Drosophila melanogaster: one gene and its partners. The protein of the gene in region 1 purifies or fractionates together with the protein of each later gene. This does not show direct contact. Each region holds a gene or a part of one and is shown on either strand. Other genes may lie near its edges.

Region 1 (4,631 bases):
CAGAGTTCATGGCGCACTGCAGCAAGCCTGTGCCGGAGCCGCCAATTGTGGAGAACTGGATGGGAGGTGGCGGAGGAGGAGGCGGCTTCCAGGGCGGAGGAGGCGGTGGTCATCCCTACCACAATCGCTACAACGGACATCGCAGAGGAGGCGGCGACAGGGGCTGGCAGCGACGAGGAGGAGCTGGCTACCACAACAACCAGGACAGGGGATTCAGGGGTAATACCCGGGAAGAAGCTCAGTTTCTATTTATAGCTTACCAACGCATTTGTTCCCACAGACAACCGGCGCAACAACAGATACGATCACATCGATCGCCGGAATCGGTACGAAGGAGGCGGAGGGTCCGGAGGATCTGGAGGCTACAAGCGCTCCCATGATCATAACCAGAGAAATGATACTCCCAATAACGAACCACCCATGAAGGTCAGACGCGACTATGGAAACTTTGTGCCTGCATCCAAGGATTAGTTATCGAATATATCAAATAAGAATACTCTGCATTACATTGAAATATTCACATTGACGTTTATTTAATGGACTTAAGACTATACTAATTCCTGTAATCCCGCTTAAACGGCCGACTCAGATATATCCTTTTGTTCCTTGTCCTCGACAGCCGACATGCCCACGCCCATGGCGCTAAACAGATTGGATACAGGACCTGCGCCGCCAACCTGCGATTGGTAGCTATCCATCATGTTGCGCAGCGTGTTTACGTTTATATTGATGGGCTCAAAGTCCTCAATGTCATCGAAATCGTCCTCGTCCGCCTGTGGAGCTGTCTTCTTCTTGCCGTGGAAGGACTTGCCCACGCTGGTCTGAGCCAACTCGCGGTCCATCTGCTCCATATACGATTGAATCTGTCGATCGAGTGGGAACACACTGCCGCCTCCAGAAAGTGCATTTAGATTACTCTCCATGTCGTCCTCGTCCGCGTAGTCGCTCATCTCCGAGGTGGAGTCCCAGTTGTCCTCGGGTATTACGAAATCCAGGAAATTCCGCACATGGGTGCTGTCCGGTTCCTCCGGCTGGATGACGGAATTGCGCTGGCACGCCTTGCGCATGGAGGGATTCTTCTTGACCTTTGCTGTCAGTCCTGTGGAACCGTTTGCCTGCGGCGGCGGCTCGTCATCGTCTGAGTCCAGTTCTGGCTCCTCGAGCCCTCGGTGCTCAATGCCCTCGTAGTTGGACTGCCGATCTAAGAACTCCGCCAGCTGCTTGGTGAACTCCTCGGCATTCATTTGTCCGTTCGGCTTGTAGAGCTTCTTGGGTCCGTAGCGATCCTGCAGCATGGAGTCTAGATCCTCAGCGCTGATATTCAACCACTCATCCGAGTCGCTGGGCTGCAGGTTGTTCTCCTCATCGCGCAGCTCCTCGGAAGCAGCCTCCGCTGGATGGAGCAACAGGTCGAGGATCTCGGCACCCGCTCTGGAGGCTGTGCGGAAACGCTCCTGGTTGCCACGAAAGTACACCTTGGCCTTGTTCAGCAGCTCCTGGTACTCGGCACTGCCCTCGATGTTGTCCCGGAAGTAGCCCTTGCTCAGCAAGCTCCGCAGATACGATCGCCAGGCAGGAAGGTCCTCCAGCTGTTGGCCCTCAACCCGCTTGGCTTGAGTGGCCAGGATCTCCAGTCCACTGGCCAGCTTCAAGCCCAATAGTTGTTCCTTATATCGTTCCGGCTCGGATACAGGATCCGTGAGATGCCAGCCGAGTCTCTTCTCGGGCAGATACTGCTGGTGCGACAACATGGCGTACAGACAGCGGGTGAAACGCACGTTGGTGCGCACGCGTGTGGCCTCCGGTGGGAAATATCGCATGGTGCGAAGTGCCTTGATGTCCAGCGAGTCCCGCTCGCAGAAAGCCCTAACCGCCGAGGAGAGCAGCCTTGGCTTCTGTTTCAGAAGCTGTGCAGCGCTATGCGGGAGCTCCAGCACCTGGCGATGAATGGAGAAGTGCGGCTGAGCGATCTGGTACTCCTTAAGCCGCGCGTCAATGCACGACTGTATCTCCTGCGAGCAGCGGTACAGGGTGGGATTCATTCGTATACGTTGCACAGCCATGGCCATGGTCAGTGGCTTGTCCTGGCTGCTGGCGGCGGAGTTCTGGAGAAGCTGCAGGTGACCACCGACCAGATAAACGCGCTGCTCGCACGTTTCCGGAGACGCCCAGTCGGGCAGGGCGTCCGCCGCCTCGATGAGCAGGAACTCGCCATCCGAATCGCTCACCCGTGCAATGCAGTCGCCGCGTGCACGTGTGATCTCCGTGAGCAGATAGACAACGAACCACTCGTCGCTGATGTTGTCGCCATAGTGGGTTACGCCGTGGAAGTGCGGTGGGAGGTCGCCTGGGCGGGGACATGGAAATGGATGATTTCGAATTGCAGAAACAAAGCTATTTATAGCACATTGTGCGCATACCCAGTTCCGCCTCCTCCTCCGGGTTTGTCTCCTCGTTCAGCAGGCGCTCCTCGGCGCCGCCCAGCCTCACCTGAAGCTGAAACTCGTCCTTGTGCCACAGATAGCTGCGCTCTAAGGACTTTTCCCTTACAATGGCCGAGATCTCGTTGCGGATCTGAAGCATCAGTTTGCGCAGCGCGCCCTCATCCTGTACGTTGTCGGGGATCTTGGGAAAGATGTAGTACTCCACGAAGTCCTCCTCGCGGACGAACTCCAGATTGCTGCCTGGAATCTTGCTCATCCTTTGTCCTTTTGCTCCTCCTCCTTTTTTTTATTTGTTAGGGCGTTCGAGGTGACACTATCGACATGAGTGCGTGCTTCCGAACTGACTATCGTTCAAAGAAGTTCGTTCACACTGGTCGCGCAGCAGGGTTCCGCTTCAGCAGAGCGGTGGAGGACGTGGCTAAGCGCTTAGCGGTGACCCAACCCATTCCCGTTATTTCTCTCAGCGATTTTTTATGATTGAAGATTAGGTATGAACCGAAGATTAGGCATTAAATTCCTTTACTAAAAGTGCATATTTACAAAAGCTAGCGGTCAGTTTTATTGAAAGAAATGGTATTTAAATATTTACTCGAGAGCACTTTAAAGTGCTCTGAATAAGTCGGCCAAACAAAATCCCGACTTGTTTACACATTAAACACCCACTCCACTTGACACTCCAGCTAGTTGGACCAATTTTTAGTAAATGTCGTTCACTCACCCATCATTGCGGCATTCCGATCCGCGTAGTTGTTGTAATTAGAAACGCCGCTGCGTTTGCCACTTTGCCCAACTCCCATCGCCTTTTCAAAGTTGATAGATAGACAAACAGACACCCAAAAGATATAAAACGCTATCTAAAGTCTGCTATTTCGGGACTTTTATTGCTGTCACCATATGAGTCTGAATCAGACAATCGAAGATTCTCGTGGAAGTTGGACCTAAACTAACCAGAAACAAAGTCCAAAAGGGGAAATACATCGTCATGTTCTTGGAAAGAATACTAGTGAGCGTGGTAGGTAGTTTTTCAGAATAGGATAAACTTAAGTGAATGGCATTTGATTTTTATGTCCCCACCGCCCAACAGTTACTGCTCAACCTGGTGGCTCTGCTTATGGGAGCCACTGTTACCACCCGGCGCATCCAGCCGCGGGAGACAAACTCCTGCGAGGGCCGTCAGAGTCCCGGGCCCATCTGCGAGTCCTGCGAGCTGCTGGCCACCTGCGTGCGTCACTCCAACGGATGGGTGAACATTCCCGTGGAATCGTGCGACGTGGCTAATGGATACTACTGCAACGCCCGGCTGGGGAGCTGCACCAACGAGACGGGCCCGTGTCATCCGTTCGGCATCGAGGGCAACTTTCAGTGCACCTCGCAAGGCATCTTTCCAGATCCGTACGACTGCCAGAAGTACCACATGTGCTACTTCGTGGGGGCCACTCTGGTGGCTGCTGCCGTTGATTGCGGCAACGACAAGGCCTTCGATGCGACGACTGGCCAGTGCACTTTGACCCTGACTGACTCCGTCTGCCTGCAGCGACAGTACTACTGCCCCAATGCCGGACACGTGGCCGCCTGGCCCACCAATCCCAATATCTTCTACGTGTGCAAGTCGACGGTTAACCAGAACCTGAACGACACCATCGTCATCTACCCCTCGCTGCACAGGTGCAACGATGGCGAGACCTTCGTGGACTACGTCTGCCGCAGCGGATCGAATGTCCTGCCGCCCAGCACCGATGATCCTTCGGTGATCATCGAGGATCCCAACGACGACGACTTTTCGGTGCTGCCCAACACCTGTCAGCACGTGGGCTTGATGGCCGATGGAAACGACTGCCGGAAGTACTACTACTGCTCGGCTCTAAATGGCACCCTGCGGCACATGGACTGCCCCAATGGGACTTACTACCGACCGGAGCTATCCTCCTGCGTCCTGGGAAGCTGCTGAGGAAGATGCATTCCTGCACTTTATTTATTCCTCTTCAATGGATTACATTTAATAAACAACTCATGTTTACCCTGGAATAACAATCTATTTGACATGAATTTATGAATTCCCATTTCAAAAGGTATCAGTTTGATAATAAAGATTCAACCACCATGTCCGTGGGTAATTAAACCAGAATGAGTTCTTTGTTTTTTTCCAATAAAAGTGCAATAGAAATGGACTAGTACTGTCTTGGTTCT
Region 2 (4,647 bases), on another chromosome or scaffold:
GCTTATAAATATATATTTATAATTTATATATAAATATGAAAAATATCAAAGCAAAGAAAGCTGTCATAGCTTCTAAATAATCAGTCGTGTACGCTGTACCAAGCTGAGTTTAAAAAGCAATCAAGTACCTCTAGGTACAACCACCCAGGTCTTGGCATCGCTGAGCCCAGGTCATGTGCCGCTGGTTCTGCTTGGTCGCTCGATTTGGCCATAATCGAACATGTGCGCCAAGCTGTCCGTTAGCCAATTTCGCGCTGACATGGGGCGGGGTGCGGTAGATAGGTTCTGGATCCAGGGTGCAGGGTGCAGCCATTGAAGCGTCTAATCGACGCTTTCATACACCATGCGTACCCAATGTCCTTCATACAAAGTGAGCAACCCACACAGGTGATGCGCCGGATAGTTTAAGGGACTACGGCTCCATCTGTCCAACCCGCTCGAAAAAAAAGCAAAAGTATCTCCCCTTTTACCCGTTTACCAAAAAATATGGACATTAGCAATTCGGGTTCTTGTTGATTCGTTTATTTATTTCCATTGATCACTGGTTGAATGAGTGTGTGAATGAGTGTGTGAATGAATGGGCGATTGCTTTCATGTTGGGGGGCTAAATGCATTTGCTTACAATATGATTTAAATCCTACTCAGTACAATTTTGTTTGACCAAATGATGCGATTAGTTTTATCCGTTTCTTCGTTCTCGGTAATTTAGGCTAATATTATTGAACATATATATATTTTTTATTTTCTTTTGGTTGTTTCTCGAGCTTTAGTTCAACTAGATCGATCGGCACCCTTGAATCTGACTTGACGTCTAAACATTTATGTTTTGTTCGTCACAGGACAATCTTTTGATTTACCTGTGAACTGCAAATGTGATAAGTTTTTAAGCATATTCTAGCTCCTTTGTATAGTTTCATTTGCCACTTTAATGGCCGCAAGTATGCTTTTCAATAATATGTGAAGAAGCGTCTCCAGCATCTCCAACATCTCTTTCTTCTCGATTTAAATAAATGTTGCTTATTCTTCTGACTGCTTGTAGTATTTTGAATATTTGAATTTTCTCCATTGTCGCCCGTTCTTTTACGTGTTGGTTAAGTTAAAGCTTAGGAAATGTTTGTTTTTTCTCAGCTGCAAAAATGTGTAAGGCAGCCGCTTTCCCTTTTGTTTTTCGTGTAGTCCATCTTCTTCACCGCACTCTGTTGCTTTCTCTTTCTTTGTTGTTTTGTAATCTCGCTCGATTTCGTGTAATTGGTTGTTAACTTCTTTTTATCGACGCATGTTTCAGTCTTACTACTGCCCCATTTCTAAACCTTAGTCCAAACCGTCATCGACGAAGTCGGCGGAGTCCTTTTTAGGCTTAGGCTCGCTCGGCTTTCCAGCCTTTTCACCCGCTTGGCCAAAGGCAGCACCCACATCTCCACCGGGCACAATCTTCTTGATAAGGTTGTATATCTTCGGGTTCGACGCGTACTTTGTGATGTTACCCGGATTTGACAAAATGTCCTACGAAAGTTAATAAATAACAACGATATGATTACTGCATTTGTATTAGAAATAGAAAAGTAGTATTCACGAACCTGAATGGCGGCTGACACCTCGGGATCTGACATGGCGCCCAGTATATCAGACATATTTCCGTTACCAGGATTCCCACCGGAAAATTCTCCAGATGATCCACCAGAGCTGGCATTGTGCTTTTCCTGCTCCTTACGTGCGCGCCTCTGATCCCGCTGGCGTTCCTTGATCTTACGCTCTGCCTGGCGACGCTCCTGCTTCAAGCGATGCTGCTCGATTTTCTTGGCATTCGGAGTGACCTCCTTTAGCCACTCGTCTGTCTCCTCGTCAAAGTCCAGCTTGCATGCTTGGCGCAAATCATGGGCAGCCAGCTCAAAATCTCCGAGGAGGCGACGGGCGCGTCCCCTGAACTTGTAGCCAGCCGCCAAATCCGAGTTGAGTTCCAGCGCCACGTCGCAGTCCCGAATGCAGGCATTCGGCTTCTTCAGCTTGAGGAAGGCCTGACCACGCTTAGCGTGGAAAAGGGCATTACCCGGGCTCAGTTCAATGGCCTTGGTGTACAAGGCGATGGCCTCGTCGAACTTCTGCTGGCCGTAAGCGGAGGCCGCCTGGGCGCGCAGCTCGCTCGCCTGCTCCACCTCCTCTTCGGTGGCCTTCTTGCTGTAGTTGCCCATGGGTTGGGCGGGGTCGCTGTCCGCCTCGATCACACCTGAAGGCGTCGGAAGTAATACGGATAGAAGATACATAGTTTTAATTGGCGTATTACATATATTAATACTGCAGGATTCGAATTTGGGTAAACGCTAAGTTTGCAGTGTCGAAAGGATATAAGATAAAGCAACTGCCAGCACTGCGACAGCAACGCATCAAAGTCCAGGGTTGTGACCCCCAATGACCACGTGACTCGGCAAAATTTGCACACTCACCCTCCATGTCCAGCTCCACGTCCGACTCAGGATCGGAGAGGGACTTTTCGTCCTCGCTATCCTCGGGGGCATTGGCCGGCTCGTTGGCCTTGGCACCAGCAACACCGCCGAATGGGCACTTGCTGGAAGAACAAGCCGCGGGATGAGCAAATCATACAATCGTGTTGTTTTGAAAATTGGTCAAATAGTTCGGTTAACTTACCCTCCGGCGCTGCCACCGTTGAATTGGCCAGGCGGCACCGTGCCACCAAACTTCTCCACGAAATCTTTGACGAACTGCAGCTGCGGCATGTTCAAGAAGGTGGGATTCTCAAGCGCAAAGTCGATGAAGTACTTCAGCTTCTTCAGATCCCCGGTTTGCATTGTGAAAGCCATTTCTGAATTCCGTTTTGTCTCGATGTTTTCAGATCTGATATATTAATATATTAATATTATTAATAAGCAATATTTGCTTAGCTTTACGTCCACTTTTGCTCTGCCCTATCGATTGGTATGCATAAATACCATGAAAAAGTACTGAGAATTAATCGACGGTATTTATCGCTTCGCTCTTGTATTTTTCAGTATTTTGTGCGTACGATAGTGCTGGAAAATGTGACAACTTTTAAAAAGATAACAGCCATTTTCCGCCACATACCCCAAAACTAAATACATATATATTCACATAGGATCGAGAATGTAATGAGCCACAATTAAGTCCATAACTATTGCTGAAGAAGTTTATGTCTGCCCCCATTGACATTAAAACAGTTTTCTGTTAATCATTTTAGTATTTTTTTATTTTCAATGTTTCGTCATGTTTTTTGTTTGCTTTTGTCTTTTGTTTTCTTGATGTTTTTTTTTTAGCTTTTTTCATTTTGTTTTGGAATTAATTTATTAATTAATTTTTATGTTTACTTATTGATTTAGTATCTTCTTCGCGCTTATCTCTGTCGTCGCCGCCTATTTCGTGTTTGCATTGTTTTTTTTTCGGCTTTCTTCGCCTTTTCTTGTGTTTGGTGTGTGTCTGGTTGAAGGGGTTAAGGGTCAGAAAATGGTGAAAACTGGTGGTGATGTTCGGGTATCGGAAGGGAGTGGGTGGTGTCGATGGCCTATTCTGAGTGCCCTTCTCTCCGTGCTCGCACGCATACAAATATTTTTCATATCCGTTCACTTTAAATAATTTTTTAGCATAACTATTAAATAATTTGTTTATATATAATACATACATATATGTATATATGCACACATATATGTATATTCAGTTTGTTTTTCGTAATTCGTTCAATTTAAACTTTTTAATTATTATCGTAATTATTTTTTAATAAAATACTCAACAAATAATTTAATGGGCTTTGTTTTTCTCGTCTGCTCAACTGTCTCATCGTTTTTTTCTGCTGCTGTTTTTATTTTTATTTTCGTTTTTTTTTCTTTTTAAGTATTTATATTTTGATTCGTTTAGTACTATTTAAACACTTAGTAGGTATTAATTTGTTTAGCTTTATACGCTTGCGTGTGTGTTCTTGAGTGTGACAACTTTCTCTATGAAAAACTCAATAAAATCGAAGAATTAAAGACAAATAAATTAAAACATCTCGTGGTTTTTTTTATCAAACATTTCGCTTGTTTATTTTGTTTCTCTTTTTGTTGTTTCTGTTTCTTGGTTGTTGTTGGTTTCGCTGTGGATCAAACCGAAACCGTTAAGTGATAATAAAAAATAATGATAATGGTAATCAAAATAATAATAATAGTTTCCTTTTAAATATGTATAATTTATAATTTAAAGATGTGCATTTTACATAATTATATAATAGATAGATTCGCTCTCATTCTCTATGCATCTCCTTTCATTATCTTCACATTCCTTGCTTTCCTTTATCTTTTATCAAATTAAATTAACACACACTCGCATCCAATCGTTATCGACAATCGATGACATCACATCGATATACACACACATTTAGATATCGACCATTATGGGCTAATTCTAACGGTTACATTAAACGGAAAAAAAAATCGGAATCATTATCCTCATATCATTATTCTTTATAGAGATGCAAAAAAAAAATTTAATCTTACAAACTGATTGGCTAAAATTAAAGGAAAGTACGTACATATACAAATTTGCATACAAATCTGAAATGGTTCTTCTGGTTTTTTATGTTTTTTTGCTGGTTTTCTTCATTAATTTAAACTTTAATTAGGCATAAATTATTTATATAAATAT
Region 3 (3,615 bases), on another chromosome or scaffold:
TAGATGTGCTTGGTCGTCATCCTGACGAATCTTCTGCGCCTGGTCCCAAATTTGATTTTCCACCGATGAAAAGTGAGTGTGTGTCCAACAACACCGAAGCACTCGTAAATTTGTTTCCTCTGCAAGAATTGGGGAACTGCTGCACGAACTTAACAGTTAACAAAGTATTAAGTGGGAAACGGTAGTGACTTTTGAACGCTCATAACACCAAAAAGATCTTGAGCTATTCGCCTGTATTTAATTAAACATAAAACAATTTTCAGCTACGTTAATCGATGTGTTTCTAGAGTTGCCAAGACTCACAAGCTTAAATTAAAGCTGCACATTCATCGATTGCACTATCACCGCCCAAACGATACTTTTGCCACACTATCGTTTGCACATTTCAAAAACAACAGTGCCATTTTCGAGTTTCTCGACTATCAGATATCTCTTACTGAACTAGTGGGTCTAATAGAAGAATCTTTCGCTATTCGTCACTAGCGCAAGTAACTCGGATACATAATTTGGTATATCTGACCAAATTTAAGAGCCGACAGAATCAATATGAATATGAATTTTATTTTAAGTCCAAACCAAGTGCAAACTAATTGAAACCTCTTGTAAAGTATACAGTATACAATTATAGAACAAAGTATTTGCAGAAAACATGTTAAAACCCAAAGAATTTAACATTTGTTAACTAAGGCCTACAAGTACAAATCGAAATCTATGCGGTTGCTTGTATAGAAATTTGTGTTTTCGCCGCACTTTCGCACATAGACTCCGTTTTTAAAGTAGTTCTCCTGGGACCATTTCAACATTTTCTCCGTGGAAAAGGGTCCCTGGATATCAGTCTCATCCTGCGACCATTTAAACTCCCAGGTCACCTCTGAGGTAGTCGTCGTTGGTTTGGAGCTATCACTCGACGATGTCTTAGAGCGCTCCAATTCTTTCGTTTCGAAATCATCTGCATACATATCAATATCATCGGCTACTTTAGGTTTGCTCGTTCCTGGCAAATCGGCGATCTTGGCCTTGATGCTTTCGTACGTATCCTGATATATATCCATATTGCCCGTCTTCGAGAGAATCTCGTTGGCCAGCTCGGTGAGCTGAGAGATTTCCTGTGTCTTTGGGTCAACGATGCCGGCCTTTTTCTGCTTAATCCTCTGAAGGGTTGTTAGGACGGGGCGCTGCTTACCCAGACGCTGCAGGGTCATCTTGACAGTCTCTCCCGGTTTCATAAACTCGACCATTTTCATGAGGTTCATGGACAAGTTAAAGGCCTTGCCCACGGGTTCGTTCTTCTCCTCATCGGAAGAGTTTTCTTCATCTTTTGCCGGGTCGAAGGCGTTCTTCTGTGTGCCAATCTGTTAGGCAAATATTGCTTTTAAATTAAATGATTGTGTACAGGCAGCAGTGATGGAATCCTTACTTTAACCCAGTCTATGTTGTCCAACCAATTGTCCTTTGCTTCCGTCTCCTTGTTCCAATGGTAGTGACCATCTTTGTCGAAGTGTCCCTCCTCCAGTTCTTCCTTCATATTGAAGGGTGTTACCTTCACATCGTCTTCCACTTTTGCCACGCCCTCCTCGCCGCCCTCAATGTCGCTATCATTGAGGTATTCCCTGCAAACAAAAAGTGCCGAAATCAAAACAATCAATTGTTTGCACATTTTAAGCATTACCTTTCGTAGTCGTCAGAATCCTCTTCATCGGAGTCAAGCGTGTGTTTCTTGAAGGATTCCTCTTTCACTTTCTGGGATGCTTGGTGCTTTCTTTTGCTCGCCATTTTATCAAGAACTCAAGACAAAACTAAATGCAATGTCAATATTTTTAAGCGACTATTGATTCTATTTACGTTAGTGAAGGTAAGTCTGATATCGATAGCTGGAACATATGCTGTTCCAATACCAATGTTCCTGTAGTTTCTAAAATTTATTTAAATTATATTTAATTAATGTATATATAATATGTTTTGTATTCCATTTGATATATAGTATGATTATGTGAAGAAAGCTTATAGAAATAGACTTAGATTTGATTGATTTGCAAGCTGAATAAGAAGATATTAATATACACCTACTCGCATTTAATATATTATCATTGTTATTAAAAATATACCTTTTCATTGCAGTTTGAATTAATAAATCCTCAACATTTTTAAAGTATTAAATATCGAAACCAGTCTTAAAACCATCGACTGTTAACTGCGCCTGCGCTGAGTTTTCGCGTAAATTCTTTTCCTCCAATGTCATCCTGCTTGTGAGAGGTCCCTAGAATCAAAAGTTAATAGTTTTTTTTTTCACCAATCCGCTGTGTTACAATTAATTGTCGAATCAAAGGTTTAGCCAACCAATTCCTAAAATTATGGTAACCAGCGACCGCCATAATCAAACAAAAATCCGCCAAACCAGAAGCTAACCAGAGAAAAAAGTTCCCCATCCGCCCACTAGTAAATCCGTTAGGATAACTCCGGGAAGGAAACCTATAATTCACCATATAGTAGTTACCCGCTCAAGGATATCAAATTCGAGACCATGCCCATAGGAAGCATTATCAAAAAGGCTTCTAGTTTCATACTGGGCGACGAGAGATTGGACAGAAAAATCGATATTGCTTACGAAGACAACGAAATCCTCTTCTGCAAGAATAACGTCTGCATCCATCCGCCCACAATCGCCCGCGATGAGTCGGATATACTGCACAATCCGGGCTATTTGACCTGCACGACAAAGACCTTTGTAGATCAGTATAATAGCGCCAAGAGGCCCACGCTTCTGCTCACCTGGATACCGAACTCGTCGCTATGCAAGTATACCAATCTGAATGCCGACGATTGCCGGGGTCAGTGTAATCCGAGGAGCAAGTCGCCGGACTCTCGAAACGGCTACTGCCACGTGACCATACCGCAGACGATCCAGGAGAGGGACATTCGGGAGGAGGATGAGAACGCGGCGGATATGCAGGAGCTAAAGAACGAACTGCAACCGCTGCTGGGTGGCCAAGCTGCATCCATAGACGACTTGACCGCTCTGCTGAAGAATAACCCCATCACGTCGGTGAACATAACGATCTCCAATCCGCAGATCGAGAACAGCAATATATCGCAGTCCTTCAACTGCATCACCATCCGGCCGGATAGTAACAATTGCTCCGATTGCACGAATGGTTCTGGAGTAGGCGATGGCCCGGCAACCGATAACCCAAAGTGGACAACACCTGAACTGCTGGCCTTCAAGCACAACCTGGAGTTCCCGGATAGCGGCAATTCGACGCCAGCCGATCGCCAAAAATCCGCGATGAAGTGCCGCCATTTCTCCGTTGACCTAAGCCAAATGCGATCTCTGCGCCTTTTCTTCAATGACGACAACTGCACTTCGGGTCAGCTGGTGATCGCGTCGCGGGAGTCGCAGTACAAGATTCTACATTTCCATTACGGTGGCTTGGATCACCTGGCCCAGGTGCTGCACCAGTGGCACTGCTTTCTGCACAACATCACATCGGAAACGGGCCAGGATAAATTCGATTTGCCGTACAGGCACTTCATGGTCTGTCGGCCGGAGGTTAAGAAATCGGAAATGCATCCGGACGAGGGCGATGTCAAGAAGATAACAACGAACTTTTTCTACGG
Region 4 (6,324 bases), on another chromosome or scaffold:
GCTCATCGCAGACCACAAAAAGAAGCTGCAGAAGCAGCTACTAGAGTGCAACGAGCCGGCACTGCTGCTGCACCTGGCTGCACTGATCTTGTTCACCACGATCACTGGTAGCATTTTGCACGCGTCCGGAAAATTCGTTTCTGCCATACTGCAGCATATTCGCGGCTCACTAAACGAGGACCAGAATGCTCTGTTGCTTCGGTATCACGGTGAGTTTTTGCAACCATAATTTGCGTTTTACCTAATTCTTACATACATTTCAGATTTGGTCCTGCAAGTTCTGCAGGCCATTCCCGATAGCAATGAGTCAAAACTGGCCAACGAACATTTGCAGACAATGCAGAATCAAGTGGTGGAGCTAGCTCAAAACTTTTCACGTGCATCGATTTCTAAGGCTGATTGATGATGCTCCTATATTCCAATCTTTCTTCCCATGTCATTAAATTGCGTCTATGTAAATTGGTTCTGGTCTGCAATAGATTTTGCATTTGTTAAATTTTCATAGTTTATAAATTGTTTTTATTACTGCTATGCATGAAGTTACAAAACGATGAGCCTTAAACAGAGTTCCTAGCTTTATCACTTTCGAAGGTTTGGGTTGTTGGAAAAACGATTTAAAATTGATTAGTTTGGAAGGGCTGTTCTCCATTTAGTTTGTTAAGCTCAAGCTTGAATTAAATAAATCTCTTACGAAGCTACTTATATACAATATTTTCTAACAGACCGATATAAGTTGTGCATTTCTTTATAACGAGTATTTGATTGTTAGGATTGATGTGAGCGATGTTTGTCCCTACACTTTATAAACTATGTAGTCTTTGAAGTATTTGCTTGGCTTTATCGCTGGATTGCCTGCAAAAAGGGAAATGATTGCTTTTAACTCTCAAAAGTGAGTTTCATTACTTACATAAAGATTGGATTGCTTGCATCACAGTTCTCTAATGTTTGTTTAATATATCCTATAAAAAGTTCCATGTTCTTGAGGGTCTCGCTGTTCGGTAACAACCAGACTGTAGGCAGGGTATTTACAATGATGTAAGCTTTGTTTATGGCATCGTTTGGCGTGCAGACTCGCATAGCTAATAACAGGTAACGATTCAGAAGGGCTCCAATCGCCAGCTCACGCAGTAGCTTATCAGCCAGGATGCCCTGCCAGCTTAGGAAATTTCGAAACAGCTTTAGACCACTGCAAAACTGCCTCTGAAAGAATGAGGTCTTCGCCTCTTGCACTCTAAAGTTCAAACAAAAAGCGGTAATTAAGACCATGATGGCCAATCTTTTGCAAGAATAATATACTTACTGCTTTGGAAAAATGGGTATAAATACATCATTTTCTAGGGCTAACCGCATGCGTTCCATGATGGATTCAAACAGTTTGTTAAGCTGCTTATTTGTGCCGCTCAAGGGAAACTCGCGACCTAATCGATTGATGAACCCAACCAATCTCAGGGTCTGTGTGGTAGATAATGGATCCCAGCATTCTGTGACCAGAGCTAAAAAACATTCATTTATTACCCCGCTTCGCGTTTTTTTTTAATGTGTAAAACTCACCAGTCACCTTGGGCAGCACAATCTTTTCGATGAGCGCCGGCACCAGATTGATATCCGGATCGATTTTCAGCTGCTCCACGGTTTCATCTGCCTGGGAGGCATAAAGCATGCAGGCCTGATACCAACGCATATTTTCTATATCCGCATACACGTCCAGCAGTGGCGACCAAAGAACAAGTTCGTGTCGCACCAGCGGAGCCAAGACTTTTGGAAGGCACAGGCTAACAAATGCGTCCTGGTATGACGACATGTCAGTTTTACGCCAGGCAAAAAACTTCATTAGTATTAGCTCGATCTTGCTAAAGTCGTCGGTAACGTCTTCAAGGGCGTCCACCGACTGTGATTCTATCTGCGCCATCGTAGTCACACTCAGTTCCTGCTGTTGATCGGCAATTTCATCGTCGCTTGACATGCCATCCAGGTGGGACGAGAGCAGATCATTGCGCTCGCGCTCGCATCGGCGACGTGTCCTCCGACCCTCCCGTTCCGCTGCGCGGCGAACTTGTTCTTCATAATCAGGTGTTCGGCGGGAGGCAGCTGTTATAGGTTCTAAAAGCAGAAGATTGAACATATTAATATAGTTTAATAATCGAATTATTTTCCCTAAGACAAGACTAAAAACAAAATTCTCATACTTGCTGATTCGGCGATTTCTTTGGCCTGATCACGTACATCCTGCCTCCGTCTGTTTACCAAATAACGTTGATTTTTGCCATACTGTTGCAGTGCACGCTTCTCAAGATCGTATATTACTGGCGCTTTTTCCGAGAGGCAATCGACAAGGTCATTCACATAGCACTTTATTTCTTGGTAAAACTTGTACTTTGCGGCCGCTGTCGGTGCATTCTGCTGGCACTCTAACTGCTGGAGCTTTAATGCCTTTAGTTCTGTACTAATCCTGGCCATACTAGCGCTGTGATCAGCCGACCGCTCTTTAAGCTCGCTAAGACGCGATTGAATGGCAGCTAGGATTTCCTGAGGAGTTCGCAATGCTGTAGCCTTGGCCTTTTCCTTCTTGGTTTTGACGGATGATCGAACTGCTGCGGCTAAGTTGGTGCGCTCAAGGGCATTTTTAGCATAGGCCTGCTCCAGCAGAGTGGACGTGGACTGTGCCGCTGTTGAATCTCCGTCGTCCATGCCGGTTCCGATGCCCGACGGGGCAGGCTTGATCATAAAACGGGAGAGCACTGTTTCATGCTGAGAATGGACCAACTGGGCTGCCGTAACACCCTTGCGGATCTGCTGGTTTTCCCACTCGTTCATCTCGCGATCTGAATCTCCGTCGGTGGCTGCAGAGGAGTGAGCAAAGGTTAACAATAGTCTAAAAACTTCACCTGTAATTAGCCTGGCTCTGGTCACAAATCGGACTTGGTCCCTCTACATACAATCATTTTCGACAGCATAAAATTGCTCGCGCCGCTCTTCACGCTCTTTGCGTCCCGTAATATCGTTCATGTCCATGCGTTCTTCATCATCCGACTGATCACCCTCAACATCTTCGCAGGGCAGACGGTTGCTTAGCTTGGCCGGCTCCTTGGGCTCCTCAATAGGTATATAGTCGCCTGCACCTGGAATATAACACAAAGAGTAAGCCATCGCTAGTGTGGCAACGTGTCGAATCTTACCCTGTTCTCTAGCCCTTTGCCGACGTTTTCGGGCAGCGTGTATCATTGCTGCATCCGGAATGGAACCACTTTCGAGCATCTGTTTCAAATGTTCTGGCTTGGAGAAACGGTGACGCGTTTTGTCATGGCCACCATCCTCGGATTGCTGGTCTTCTTCATCGCTCATATCCTCCCGTCCAGCGCAAAGGGCAGCTCTACCGTTCAGAATTGCCTCGGGAGTCTCAGATTTCTTTACCACTAGCTGGGGACAAGATAAGTAAGTTTTATATTATTGTGGATTCCTAAAGGACTTCGATTAGGGTGAAGCATTGGTATTCATGCTGCTTTTGTGGAAGGGAAGACATGCGACTATCAATGGTGGGAAAATTACTATTTATGTGACTACGTTAGCAATGGCTTTGATTTTTGGTAATTCAAAAAATATATCTTTGAATGTTACATAATATTTAAATAGTTTTCTTCTGGTAAGGTCAAGTTGTATGCGTCAATTTATTATCAAAGAAAGAATGAGTTAGAATGTTCTGTGATAAATTTTCTAATTCGTGGTCATAGTTACAGTAGTAGTACTTAAAGATCGCATTATAATTGGAAATTTTATGTTGAGTGATAGTTGGATCGCAGATCCTAGACACTTCCCATCACTGACCAGTTAAAACGCCAAGCAAATCAACGTCTAAGCTACTAATATTTTAAAATTGGCACTTCAGACCAGAAAAACCAACTAATTTAATAACACATTTAAACTCATTCAGCCTAATCTTTGCTGCTAATTGTTCTACGATAATTCAATGTAATTTCTGATGTTGAAATTTCGTTAAACGGTATTATTGTAGAAGAAATTGAATAATAATAACCTTACCACAAAGTCGTCTGTGCGTATTTCGGTTTGGATCATATGATTATCACTTTTTTTACTTTTACTCTGATCGCTGGCACTTTTATATCTGCCAGCATTGGCAGGATTCGAGTTGGAATTCGGGGGACCCGATGATGGGCCACCGGACGACTCTAAATGCTGTGTACTACCATTTTCGCCCCCGGGATGTCCGCTGTTTTCCGCCCGTTCCTCGCGCTTCTTCTTGCGGCGTTCCTTGTCCAGCATGCGCATCACTTTCTTGCTATGCGACGACTTTCGCACCTGGAACACCTCGCCGTCATCCTCTGCAAAAGAATTGGGGATTTTGGCTCCATACTCTTTTTATATTCCGGTATCACTCACCATCATCTGCGAAGCTGAGCAGCGCCTTTGGCTTGCTGTTGTCCTCCTGCGGCTTTATGGCCTTCCGGCTCTTCTCTTTCTCCCTCTTGCCCGAAATTATGGGAGGCGGTGGCGCCTCCATTTCGGCGTCCGGATCCAAGGATGCGCCGTCCTCCTCTTCGTCAGCGTTGCTGGAGAACACGCGTCGCTGAATTTTCTTCGGTTTGCGAAAAAGCGACATTTTCCACGATGTTGTTGTTACTCTGCGATTTGTTTAATCAATGAAAAATCGGAAGAAAAGCGAATTTTCGCAAGATCTCTTCTTCTTGCTGTCGTATTGTAATAGAGATGAAAATCTTTCGATGTCGTTCTCGTGCTCACGTGAGTCACGAGCAGGGCTGGAACGTTAATTCTCGGTCCTCGGTCTAGCACTTACAAAACTTTTCTGTATTGAAAATATGAATAGCTTTACAAATTTTGAAACTATTGTAACAATTAAATAAAAATGTGATAAATACATTAATTTGTATACCCAGGGCAGCTACACATAAAACTGGTCTTATTAAAATATCGGCAAGAGCTTAGATGACTTTTCATCCCTAGATACCGACAACGGCCATCTCTAATCTCTGAATTCGGCGACCGCAGGGCGTTTCAAAACAGACCGAAAAGTCGTTAACTTATTGGTGCCTTGAGTCACAGAATCTCTAACATGGGCCTTAAAGGTTGTGAATTGCAATTGGACAACCCGTGGAACACCTACTACGCCGGTCAGACGGTCAACGGCCAGGTGAAGTTTACGTTCGACTCGCCCAAAAAAGTCCGAGGTAAGTGCGAATCCAAGTCCCAATTGTGGGCAGCGCTGGAGAATGCTAATTAAAACCCCAGCTGCTTACTATTACTCATAGGAGTGACGACACCTGTGTAAGAGTCAATGATTAATTGGAAATTTAGTAAATAAATATACATAGCACTTTCGTCTTCAATGTGCAGGATGTTCACTGGCTGTCGTTGGTAGTTTCCTTGCTAACTTCTTAAAATCCTGACGCAAAAAGCCGGCGCACCACCCACAAATGTCGGTTGCTCTTTCGGTGCCTAAACGACCTTGTTTTCAGAAAGCTGGCGGTTGTTAAACCCTCCAAAGAAATGCACTTTCTCCTCTTTTCAGTTGGGCGATAACAACTATAAATAGCTCCAAGTGTGAATGAATACAAAAGAAAGTAAATAAATATGTAGTACATTTGACGGGGGCATGTAACCTATGTGGCAAACATTCCACCATAATCAAATTTTGAGGTCACCAAACACGGGAGACAGATGCTGCCTGGTAGCGATGATGTCATCCGTTGAGTATGCCTTAGAAAGCTTTTCATATTATTTATAGCTAAAATTAAAGCGCCACAGTGACGTCGTCGATTGTCATTCCGTAAATACAGCCACTTGTTTCTCGTAGGTATTATCATTCGGTTCCTGGGAGAAGCCAACACCGAGTGGTCAGAGGAGAAGAGCGTAACCACCAGCGAGGGCAAGACCGAGAACGAGGTCACCCAACTGAAGGGGCATGAGGAGTACTTTAAGATCCAGTACTATCTGCTGGGCGGCAAAAACAGTAAGTACAAAAAACAGACCGGGAATTCACTCCCCGGTTGCCAGACCTTAGTTTATCTGAAAAGAATTGGAGGATTTAATTATTGAAAGTGTCTATTATTAAGCATAAATTTTTGTATTCTATGGTGTAAGAATTGGCCAAGAAGATTTTTGTTTAAAATTAAATTTGTCCTTATATGAATCGAATAAATGGGATTGCACTTCCTCGCTCTATATAAAATAATAACTAAATCTTGTAATTACTATACACCTTATAGCATTAATAACTTCTCCTTTTGAAACTACAATAATTTAATGTTTTTATTTAGCTTTATTAAATAATATACCTTGACAGACCCTTCC

The links.
Region 2: the proteins of ecd (region 1) and HIP-R purify together in Drosophila melanogaster (affinity purification with mass spectrometry, with the first as the bait; one large-scale study listed by BioGRID). This does not show direct contact.
Region 3: the proteins of ecd (region 1) and holn1 purify together in Drosophila melanogaster (affinity purification with mass spectrometry, with the first as the bait; one large-scale study listed by BioGRID). This does not show direct contact.
Region 4: the proteins of ecd (region 1) and CG1965 purify together in Drosophila melanogaster (affinity purification with mass spectrometry, with the first as the bait; one large-scale study listed by BioGRID). This does not show direct contact.

The regions. Positions count from the first base shown.
Region 1 is NT_037436.4:2,263,076-2,267,706, forward strand, and holds ecd (ecdysoneless), read right to left. Parts: upstream 2,783-4,631; 5' UTR 2,701-2,782; coding exon 2,421-2,700; intron 2,348-2,420; coding exon 573-2,347; 3' UTR 506-572; downstream 1-505. Other genes in the region: CG13807 (uncharacterized protein), read left to right, coding at 1-219, 281-471; CG13806 (uncharacterized protein), read left to right, coding at 3,427-3,456, 3,529-4,392. UniProt on the Drosophila melanogaster protein: Required in both the follicle cells and the germline for oocyte development.
Region 2 is NC_004354.4:3,788,333-3,792,979, reverse strand, and holds HIP-R (Hsc/Hsp70-interacting protein related), read right to left. Parts: upstream 3,012-4,647; 5' UTR 2,904-3,011; exon of another isoform or gene 2,851-2,903; 5' UTR 2,817-2,850; coding exon 2,644-2,816; intron 2,564-2,643; coding exon 2,442-2,563; intron 2,225-2,441; coding exon 1,578-2,224; intron 1,504-1,577; coding exon 1,312-1,503; 3' UTR 503-1,311; downstream 1-502. UniProt on the Drosophila melanogaster protein: One HIP oligomer binds the ATPase domains of at least two Hsc70 molecules dependent on activation of the Hsc70 ATPase by Hsp40. Stabilizes the ADP state of Hsc70 that has a high affinity for substrate protein.
Region 3 is NT_033779.5:10,434,244-10,437,858, reverse strand, and holds holn1 (hole-in-one), read right to left. Parts: upstream 1,865-3,615; 5' UTR 1,774-1,864; coding exon 1,670-1,773; intron 1,611-1,669; coding exon 1,418-1,610; intron 1,353-1,417; coding exon 690-1,352; 3' UTR 543-689; downstream 1-542. Other genes in the region: STUB1 (STIP1 homology and U-box containing protein 1), read right to left, coding at 1-20; TBC1D16 (TBC1 domain family member 16), read left to right, coding at 2,522-3,615. UniProt on the Drosophila melanogaster protein: Required for embryonic epithelial tissue repair, but not for the assembly of the actomyosin cable at the wound edge. Probably acts downstream of rl in the regulation of Ddc and msn transcription to promote wound healing.
Region 4 is NT_033777.3:7,065,801-7,072,124, reverse strand, and holds CG1965 (uncharacterized protein), read right to left. Parts: upstream 4,725-6,324; 5' UTR 4,616-4,724; coding exon 4,396-4,615; intron 4,338-4,395; coding exon 4,036-4,337; coding exon of another isoform or gene 4,031-4,035; intron 3,418-4,030; coding exon 3,177-3,417; intron 3,120-3,176; coding exon 2,937-3,119; coding exon of another isoform or gene 2,929-2,936; exon of another isoform or gene 2,841-2,928; coding exon 2,187-2,840; intron 2,101-2,186; coding exon 1,552-2,100; intron 1,494-1,551; coding exon 1,301-1,493; intron 1,232-1,300; coding exon 908-1,231; intron 853-907; coding exon 801-852; 3' UTR 501-800; downstream 1-500. Other genes in the region: Ufl1 (UFM1 specific ligase 1), read left to right, coding at 1-209, 264-403; CG1105 (uncharacterized protein), read left to right, coding at 5,087-5,201, 5,828-5,983.